Linked DNA regions of Drosophila melanogaster. The protein of the gene in region 2 purifies or fractionates together with the protein of the main gene of each other region. This does not show direct contact. Each region holds a gene or a part of one and is shown on either strand. Other genes may lie near its edges.

Region 1 (4,956 bases), on a different chromosome or scaffold from region 2:
TTTGTATGTATTCTTATGTTGAGAAACGCCCGCACTGTTCTTCACATCGTTGCTTTAAATGAGAATAAATGAAATAAACGTGTCAACCAAGAACACACAGATAATAATACGACCGGTCAGAGCTTAACCGTGTATCTGTTTTATAAAACGTGAACAATATTATTAGCCCAAAACGATATGCGCGTCATTTTAACACACACAAAGTCGCGATCGGTGGGTCTAGTGTGCCCGTGTATCTCTATCGAAAAAATCATATATTTTTTAGAAGGTATATTTTCCATGACTGACTGGAATGGGTGGAGAACATCGCTTTGGGAGTGAAACTCCGCTATAAATTGTCATTTGTTTTTATAGCAACCTTTTTGATATGGTCGCCAACTTTTATATAATTATAATAATAATTTTTGTAATTAATCACCGCTGTCGCACGAAAAATTTAGGAAATGTGCCAACGAGCGGAATTTTTCGGAACGATCGATGTTTTACCATAACCTGCTATATAAATTGTGAACCACATTTTCAACACAAAACTAGATGTGCTTCATTTATAACGCAATGTCGTGATTTTGTGGGCAGTGTGACCATGTCCAATCTGCGTTCAAGTAAAACCATATTTAGTGACACAAACTTTCCATTACAAAATACCAAACAACTTTAAATTTGTTGTTGCATCAAACTTTTTCTTTCTATACATATAATATTGCGGGTGTATTTGGATTTCTAACGCAGTTACAGGCGAATAAACTCATTTTCTTTTGACTTTAAAATCTTATCAATTTTACGCCGTCTATGACATACTTATTTTGTACCTGAAATAAGGGTGTTTGTGAAACCAAGCCACTTACCCAACCCATTAGGTACATAAACGCAATCTTATCAGCTCCCCCCTCTTTCTGGAGCTGGATGGCGATTACCTCTGACCTACTTTTATTTGTTGAATAACATGTTTATACTAACATAGGATAAAAAAAATTTCATATACGTATATTTATTAAACTATTATGGTAATAGGGAAACATCTATGGTATATTTAATTCGAAAATATTTAAAAGGAATGGACAACATTACGAGCACAACGATATAATAGAATTTTTAAAGTAGCCAATACACAAAAATATGCTGTGGAAAAAGACACTCACAAAATCAACCAAGCTTCAGGTACCTCCTCATATTTGGCACCGCATAGAAGGAGTGCACAAAAGAAACGAGCAAAAAAGCACCGTAACCTTTTTTATGCGGTGCTTTGTGGCGCGAGTCTACAAAATACTGTGTGTGTATGCGGTTTACTTGTAGTTGCGGTGGAAAAAATTTACCTAAATGTTAATGCCCAAAAGTATGCACATAGGAGAAGACATAACAAAAGATTCAAAAGGAGGTATTTATTTATTCCTCATAAATTATAAGCTTTCTTCTAACTTCCATAAAAATGTATTTACCACCCAAGATCAAAATAAATGACCCCACAAAATATACCAATCGGCTACAAATACTTAAAAAAAAAAAAATAGAACGGAAAGAGAAAATTGTTTGTTTTACCTTACGATGTAGCGTTGTCTGTCAGCACTGGGCTGCTGCCCTTTTCCTCTGATAAACTTTAACATGATTGGTTATGCTCTTGTGGTGGTTTGGTTTTGATGAATAAATAAGTATATTAATTGTGGCCGAATTTATTCTAAACTGAAAATAATAATAAAAATTAATCAAATTTTCAATAAGTAAAAAATTAAAAAGGAACTTGTATATTTTTTCACTCTTATGAATAAAACCGAGAATTTAAATTTAGGTAATACTATTAATACCTTTTATAGATACGGACGATACGTTTAATATTATTCTGGTATACTTTAATCAAAATTTGTTTAACAAAAAGGGTTTTACATTCTTGAAGTCATAGGAAAATCAGTGGACAGATAGATCTTGGCTCCCAAGATTTTCCAAACTAGTTGTGCTTATTTTCTTAAAACTTCAAAGATTTGCATGTAGGCAGTTTAATAAACATGTTTGTACATATGTATATGTACATTAGGAAAAATGAAATGATGAGCGATCTGTACTCTTTGCAATGTGTATGTATGTACATATGTACCTCCCTTTAATGAACTAGCAATTCCGTCACGCACACGAAATATTTTTTTATTTGTAAATCTTTTTTAAAGTTTGTTTAAACAATTTAGTTACTATTAAAGCTCTAAAATTCATAAATAAATAATAATAAATGTATTAATTAGGACAAAAAACAACTTAAAACATATACGTTTATTTTTGTAAAAGCGTTTTAGGCAAACGCTAGCTGGTCGGTACTAATATTTTTTCTAAGACTGTATACCGTATACATACATTTATGTACGTAGGTATGTATCCGTGAGTAAGCTGAGGTGCAAAACCGTATCACCATTTGCTTTTCGGCTGATAACCAATACCAAGTAAGTCAACTGTTTCCCAAATGTATCTGCATAACAAGGTGATGACCTAATTTTGAGTACATACCGATCTTTACAGTTGACCAGCTTTGCGATTGCATACCGGTATCTGTTTATTCACATATACACACACAAATTGCGTGTTAGACAGACAGCAAAATGACGACTGTTAACTGTTGGCGTGGCTGACTCACCGACTACGCCTCTATGCTAAGAACATACATATTTGTGGACACTTTATTTAAGAAGTTTGAAATATAAATCAATTGCCTAATCAGTAATACTGTTGTTGAGCCCTTTACCTTTATGTATTTCCGTTTGTACGGTTAAGGCGGTGGCCGAGTAATTTTTTGAACTATTTTATTTGCTCACCATCACGCATAAGTTTGTATGTATTCTTATGTTGAGAAACGCCCGCACTGTTCTTCACATCGTTGCTTTAAATGAGAATAAATGAAATAAACGTGTCAACCAAGAACACACAGATAATAATACGACCGGTCAGAGCTTAACCGTGTATCTGTTTTATAAAACGTGAACAATATTATTAGCCCAAAACGATATGCGCGTCATTTTAACACACACAAAGTCGCGATCGGTGGGTCTAGTGTGCCCGTGTATCTCTATCGAAAAAATCATATATTTTTTAGAAGGTATATTTACCATGACTGACTGGAATGGGTGGAGAACATCGCTTTGGGAGTGAAACTCCGCTATAAATTGCCATTTGTTTTTATAGCAACCTTTTTGATATGGTCGCCAACTTTTATATAATTATAATAATTTTTGTATATATAATCATAATAATATCATATAATAATCACCGCTGTCGCACGAAAAATTTAGAAAATGTGCCAACGAGCGGAATTTTTCGGAACGATCGATGTTTTACCATAACCTGCTATATAAATTGTGAACCACTTTCTTAACACAAAACTAGATGTGCTTCATTTATAACGCAATGTTGTGATTTGTGGGCAGTGTGACCATGTCCAATCCGCTTTCAAGTAAAACCATATATTGCCACAAACTTTCCCATACAAAATACCAAACAACTGTAAAATTTGTTGTTGCATCAAACTTTTTATTTCAATACATATAATTTCATGTGCACTAAAGTGATTATTTTGTATTTGCATTTAAAAATTTCTGTGATTAATTGTCAATACGGAATGTATGTGAGGAAGGATTGCCGTCGTTATCCATCTGGTCCATAAATTCGTCTAAACGCTGCAGAGATTCAAGAGCTTCCCGAGATTCTTCGTCTTCAATATTATTTAATTTTGCAGAACTGTTTGGAAACTCAGTGTGGACGATGTCTAGCTGACCATGATCTGTTTCAGGTGCCCCGTAGCTTCCGTATATTTCCCGAAGCGTTGCGCGGGTAAGATTTAACTCGCGCATTCCAAAACTCATTTTTTGAGCAACCTCAGCAGCCTCGCGTCTATTGGCCTTTCGCTTATCATGGGAAAGTTGCTCGGCATTAGTGCGAAGCATTGACCCACTTGACGCCGACGACCAAGAGGAGGCGGCCGACTTGCGGGAGCGCTTGATTATTTGGCGGCACTTGTTGGTAATCCCACCGACGATCTCGGATACCAGGGCTGTGGCTCCTAGAAAGTAGCCCAGTGCCATGAGCAGGAACATTCCTTCTGTGTCCGCTGTAGTCAATTGGCGCTCTTCCTGAATTATTTCGCGTAAGGAATTCGAAGAACTTGCCTGGAGCAGGCGTCCTGAAGATGATCGCTGCATGACCCAGCTTACCTCGTTATTGATTTTTGCAATAAGACCACTTTGCTGGGCAAGTAATATCATCGAGTCGATTTTGATTTTATACACTGACTCTCGGGGAAACAGAAATCCTATTTGGAAAAGAGCAAAACACTCTTCACTCAAATGAAGCGCCGATCGGCGGGAAATATTTCTAAAAGAGGATATCGTTTACGGTGGGAAGATTAAAAATAAAGGATCGATCTTACTCATCTGAAAAATTTGACTGCACCAGGTATTCGAGCTGAGCCTTTGAGCCAAGAAAGGCATAGTTCCAAAAGAAGCTCTGGGTAACGTTGCCAATGCCCTCATCTACGGACCCGACAAACTCCATTTTCTTGTACAATCTAGACGTCGGTATATGGGTCGAGTTCTGGAACCAGGTCTCCCAGCCACCATTGTCTTTAAGTAAGAAGCCCAAATATTATATACAAATGTAGCGAGCCTAACCTTTTCTTACTCAGGGTTCCAACGCGAAAGAACAATCCCAGCAGATCCAACACAGAGTCAACGGTGTCCGGAAAAGCTGGCAACGTTACGAATGCTATGATGGAACCTGTGTAGCAAGATGTAATGATAATTGTAAAGAGCCAATATGCTCCAATTAGAAGGCGTGTGGAATTTTTCCGCGTGTTGCTCCACGAGTATTTTCCGGTGAAGGAGAAAGCGTTTGTGAACATGCCAAATACATACCAGAACATGTTTTCTACCTCACCCCAATTACCCATTAAATGGCTAAGTGTCAAACGGTCGGTAAAAACTATCG
Region 2 (4,815 bases):
ATGAATATTGGTTGCCTGCTTGTTTGTCCAGGATGGGAACAGAGCATCCCAAACAACCCAACAGTCCAGCCACCTACACTAAAGCCTTCCTGGCTCCATCCATAGAAACCTCTTTTGTTGGACTAACCAAAGTCCTAAAATCCCACAGCTCTAAGCTAGATTAAAGCTGATTTACAAACAAGAAAATTATTTAACAAGCTTAAAGTACACGCTTTGTTTTAAAGTTTTTAAGCCGATTAGTTAATTACTGCATAGGGAAAGTGCCCACAATAGATGTCTTTAAATCCTATTCTATTTATACTTCTTGATTTCAATTTGTTACATGATTAAGTTAAGTTTTCTGTTTTTTGTTTTCGGTAATTTAATATATTTTCACTGCATTGCATGGCCTAATAAAAATGCTGCCATAAATGTTTAATATCAATAAAGCTGCGTTTTTAAAGCAAAAAGCTATTGATTAGATATTCCCAATAGCTATTGTTTATTATTTACGGCCTCATTCAAGAATTTCAATGGCCTAAATAAGCACACGACTGCTTACATCAGAAACCCATCAAATTTGGATATTTAGCCCGCCACGCCCACGAATTATTGACCATTCCAGCGCCTCAATCATCCGCCCACTCTTGAACTTTGGCAAAGAAGCGTTTGGGGAGATGGGTTTCCTGTGAAACCATAACGATAAACCTGAGCAGGCGATGTTCGCCAAAAGGACTGCGGCACCATCTTTGGGCCAACAGATACCAGATACTCCGGACCAGAGGCATCAATAGTTAAACATCAATTTGGCTTTTCCGAGTGACGTCAAGCGGGGCGAGTTGCCACCTGCCGCCCACCTCGACCTCCAGTGGATATAAAATTTCACACAGCTTAAAAAAGAGAAAAGCGGCAAAATGGAAATGCCATAAAGTTCCCACTTACAGAAAGAATGCCCATCTGCGAAATGTACCTTAAAACGTGAATAAAGACGCTAGTTTATTCTATAAATATTAACAACTTCATGGATGGATACAAATTATATTAAAACAGAGCTAAACAGATAGTAATCGAGCTTCAGGGATCTAGAAAAATTTGACACTGTTGTGTATGTGCAACTTAAACAAATTTAAATAAAATGTAAGTATTGAGACTCGTAAAGCTTAAAGTTTAAGCATAAGGTCCTCAAAGTTGTACATTTTACTGTATGATTAATAATATAATATAATTATAGCTTTTTCTCTCTGCATCAACGATATGATATAGGCATCCGTAATGAGGCATATACATATGACCAGCAACCAATTCCGCCCACATCCGTACATTTGCACTGATCCCCTAACAATACCGAAATGGGCTTTCTTGTTTGCTGAACTAACAATAATTTCATTAAGCCCAATGGCATCATTAAAATTTGCCCAACAATCATAATGGGGCCAGCTAGCAAGCGAACTGGGTACCGAATCTGCCAGAGGCTGCATAGGCAAACCTAAAATAAAAGAAAAGGAACACAGACCAAAAACAGAACCCCAGGGTACCCAAAAAAGCAGTGGAAATTTGCTGATTTAACTTTGGCAAAAGGAGACGCACACACACCTGGTTCGAGTGAAAGCCTTCGGGCCAAAAAGAAACGAACAAGTTTAAATGGCAGGGCGACAGCTTGGCCAGCAAAACGCTTTCCGCAAAGAATGAATAAAAAGAAATTGTTTCGCCCTGCAGCTTCTTACTAGCCCACTGACTCATATTATATACATATGTATATGTACATAAATATATATAGTATATGTGCATATATGCCTTACATATATGTATGTATGCATACGAAATGGATCCATCTCGTCTATATAGTATAGTCGGTTTGGGCCAAGTTTGGGCAACCAGACGGTCGCCGAGGTGCAAGAAGCGCTTGATGAAGTGCAAATGCCTGAGGTCAAGTTTAGGGTGGGGATTCTCGCACACCATCACACACTCGCACACACACACACACACTGCCTCATTTTGCGTCATATGTGTTTGCAAGTGTGTGTGAGTGTGCGAGTGTGTGTGGTTTTGTTTGCCAGTGTCTGGCGCACAGCAGCCAAAAAATTTGGGAAAAAAGTGAACAGCGTGATGCAGAAAAAGTGTAAGGGAACCCACAAAAATGGAAATCAATTCTTTGATTTTTTTATCGTGGTTGCTCCCCTTTGTCTAAGTGCAAAATGATAGAGGCATAGGAAATGGTATGTTTTTAAAGCGTTCTAGAACTTTAATTGTATTGCACTGAGGTATTTAAAATATAAAAGAAAAATGCTTAGTGTGTGGGATTTCACCTGCGTTTTTGTCTGCGTTTTGTTTTTTACGTTTTTATACTTTAAGAAAGTGAATAAAAGCAAGGATTTTATTAATAGAAACTAAAAAACCATATTTATATTCAATTTTTTTTTTAACAAGAATGAATTATTATTATTAATACTTTATAAAGGGGTAAATTATAATCTTTCAAAATATATTGATTTTGCGAGATACGGTCATAAATTCCATCACATCTCTGGGGTAACTCTTTCATAAAGTTTTTACTTCATTAGCAGCACTAAAAAACGTTCATTAAAGAAACATTCACAAAATTATGTTAATCATTCCACGTCCATTGCCTTTCCACCTCCCCATTTTCCGACCCCTTCTCTCAGCGGAAAATTGTATGGCAACTAATCAGAAATGTACGACAACTTCGGCAGAACAGTCAAAAAATATTGCACAGGGCCAATTGATTTTTTCCGCAAGATTTTCGTGACTTGCCGAAGAGCGAGTGGAAATGTTTAAGAAAATAATTATATGGAATTATGTTATTCACTGATTTGTACTCCTTTTCCGACATACAACTTCGATTTTTCCGCTTTCTTTTGTTAATTCACAGCGCAGAAACTCGATTTGCCGTTTAGCTGTGCAAAATCTTGTATATTTGTATACATATATATGTATATGTATATATATATCTATAATTATGTATTTGTTTGTAAGGCCCGGGGAGTTATATCTTCGAATCGAAATCCGCACGGCACTTCCACACAGGCGAGCGGCCAACGCGCGAGTGAAATGCCGATGCAGAGAAGTATGCTAGGGAAATTTTTCGGGGAGAATGTAGCGGAAAGCCATGGAGAAAGCTATTGAGAGCGAGTCTCGGCGAATGGAAAAAGTAAAGAGCAAGAGCGAAAAAAGAAACTAGATAATTTGAGAAAAAATGTTTTGTTCTTTTAGTAGTTTCTTAGTAGACGTTTTTAATGAATGACTATAAAAAAATTATTATTAAAAAAAATATTTTATAACAATTCATTTTAGGTAAGCTATTTTGCTATGACTGTCTCGAAAATGAAGAAATGAAAAATATAATTTTTAAAAACATTTTTTATTCCAACACGTAAACAGAGTAAGAGTAAAGTAAGAATTCTATAATCTGAAATTACAATTCCGGATCCGTTTCGATGGATGAAGGTGATCCAAATGATCCGGAACTGAGTGGGGCAGATGTTACTAAAATTCAGTCCTCGTCCAAGGATTGGAAAAAGAAAATTTCCCTTCCCCGCTCTTTCTAGCTCCAAACAGCCTGTCGTGGCCTTGTGAATATACTTCACTTTTGGAGAGAGAGCGAAAATAAAAGCCGCAGACCGGCGCTTTAGCATTGCCATCTTAGATTCAATGGATGGCAATACCTTTCTCTTTGGCTCAGCTGTTTTTTGTGGCATCTGGGGAAATGCTCTCTCGCTCTCTCTCTCTCTCTGTCCTTCCATCTATTCTCTGTTGGCCATCGCTGTCTCGCTCTTGGGTAATGGCATCTTGTGTATCGACCTTATGAGCTGCAAAAAAAGTTCTTCGGACCTGGACAAAAGTTTTTCATGTACATATGCGTATGTGTGTGAGTGTGTGCCGGACAGCGTTGCCATATTGCAGGCGCATAAATTATACCGTTAGCTTACAGATTCTAACTTTTTGTATTGCTTTGTTTTTGGGAGAGCTGCAGAGGTTTTTGCTGGGCGGAGATGAAGCCGGAAGGTGAAGCGAAGTTCTACGGAAACACACTTTCCAACATAAGAAAAAATTAAAAAAAAAAAACGAAACCAAAAAACAAGAGAAGCAACAACAGAGAAGTCAAAACACGGGCTTGTATAAATGCAAAACACACTCACCAACAGCCATTTACTAATCAACACAACAACAATAAGCACACAAACAGAAAACATGTGCGGCATACAAACACACAGACAGGACATCCTAACATATGCAGGAGTGCGTGTAACGGTAACGTAATACCTTGACAATGTCCCTCTCCCGTACGCACACACACACAGTCGCAGGAAAACAGACGCACACAGAATACTTTTAATACATTTTAAGCCGCATTTTTTCACACGTGGCCACATAACACAAGAATAAAAACAAGAAAGAATGAGACTGTCAAGTGTTGCGACAGAAAAGCTACCCACTACCAGGCAATTGAATATTTAAGTAGCATAATTTTTGGGATATGTCCTGAAAAATAGATGAATAAAGAACTTGGAGTACGCTTGTTTTTAACGAATACAGCATACCCCTTGAAAAGTACCGGGTATGCAACAACAACAACCAACATGTTGTCCTTACACACTGTTCTTTTTTGTCATTCGGAGATATGTATGTACATATGTGAAGATGTGGACTGGCCACAAAATATCAGGAAGCCTGCTCCCCAGAACAAAAACAAAGCCGCATAAAAAGGGTAGCGGAAACTGTAACACCCTCTCCATCAAAACCCCACACCAGCCACGAACTTTGTTTAGTGCGACTGGCAGTTATCATATCTGCTGGGCCGTTAGTTGGCTTTTTTCT

Evidence for each region. The genes of interacting proteins can lie anywhere in the genome.
Region 1: the proteins of aPKC (region 2) and l(2)gl purify together in Drosophila melanogaster (affinity purification with western blotting; 6 studies listed by BioGRID, with this or other methods). This does not show direct contact.

The regions. Positions count from the first base shown.
Region 1 is NT_033779.5:18,344-23,299, forward strand, and holds the start of l(2)gl (lethal (2) giant larvae), read right to left. Parts: upstream 3,034-4,956; 5' UTR 2,723-3,033; intron 2,631-2,722; 5' UTR 2,488-2,630; intron 1,678-2,487; exon of another isoform or gene 1,673-1,677; 5' UTR 1,602-1,672; coding exon of another isoform or gene 1,542-1,601; 5' UTR 1,537-1,541; intron 228-1,536; exon of another isoform or gene 1-227. Other genes in the region: Ir21a (ionotropic receptor 21a), read right to left, coding at 3,576-4,344, 4,400-4,592, 4,651-4,956. UniProt on the Drosophila melanogaster protein: Essential for the development of polarized epithelia, for cell polarity associated with asymmetric cell division of neuroblasts during development, and for oocyte polarity formation.
Region 2 is NT_033778.4:14,955,412-14,960,226, forward strand, and holds the start of aPKC (atypical protein kinase C), read right to left. Parts: upstream 3,046-4,815; 5' UTR 2,833-3,045; intron 1-2,832. UniProt on the Drosophila melanogaster protein: Serine/threonine protein kinase which is required for apico-basal cell polarity in the germ line as well as in epithelial and neural precursor cells, for epithelial planar cell polarity and for cell proliferation.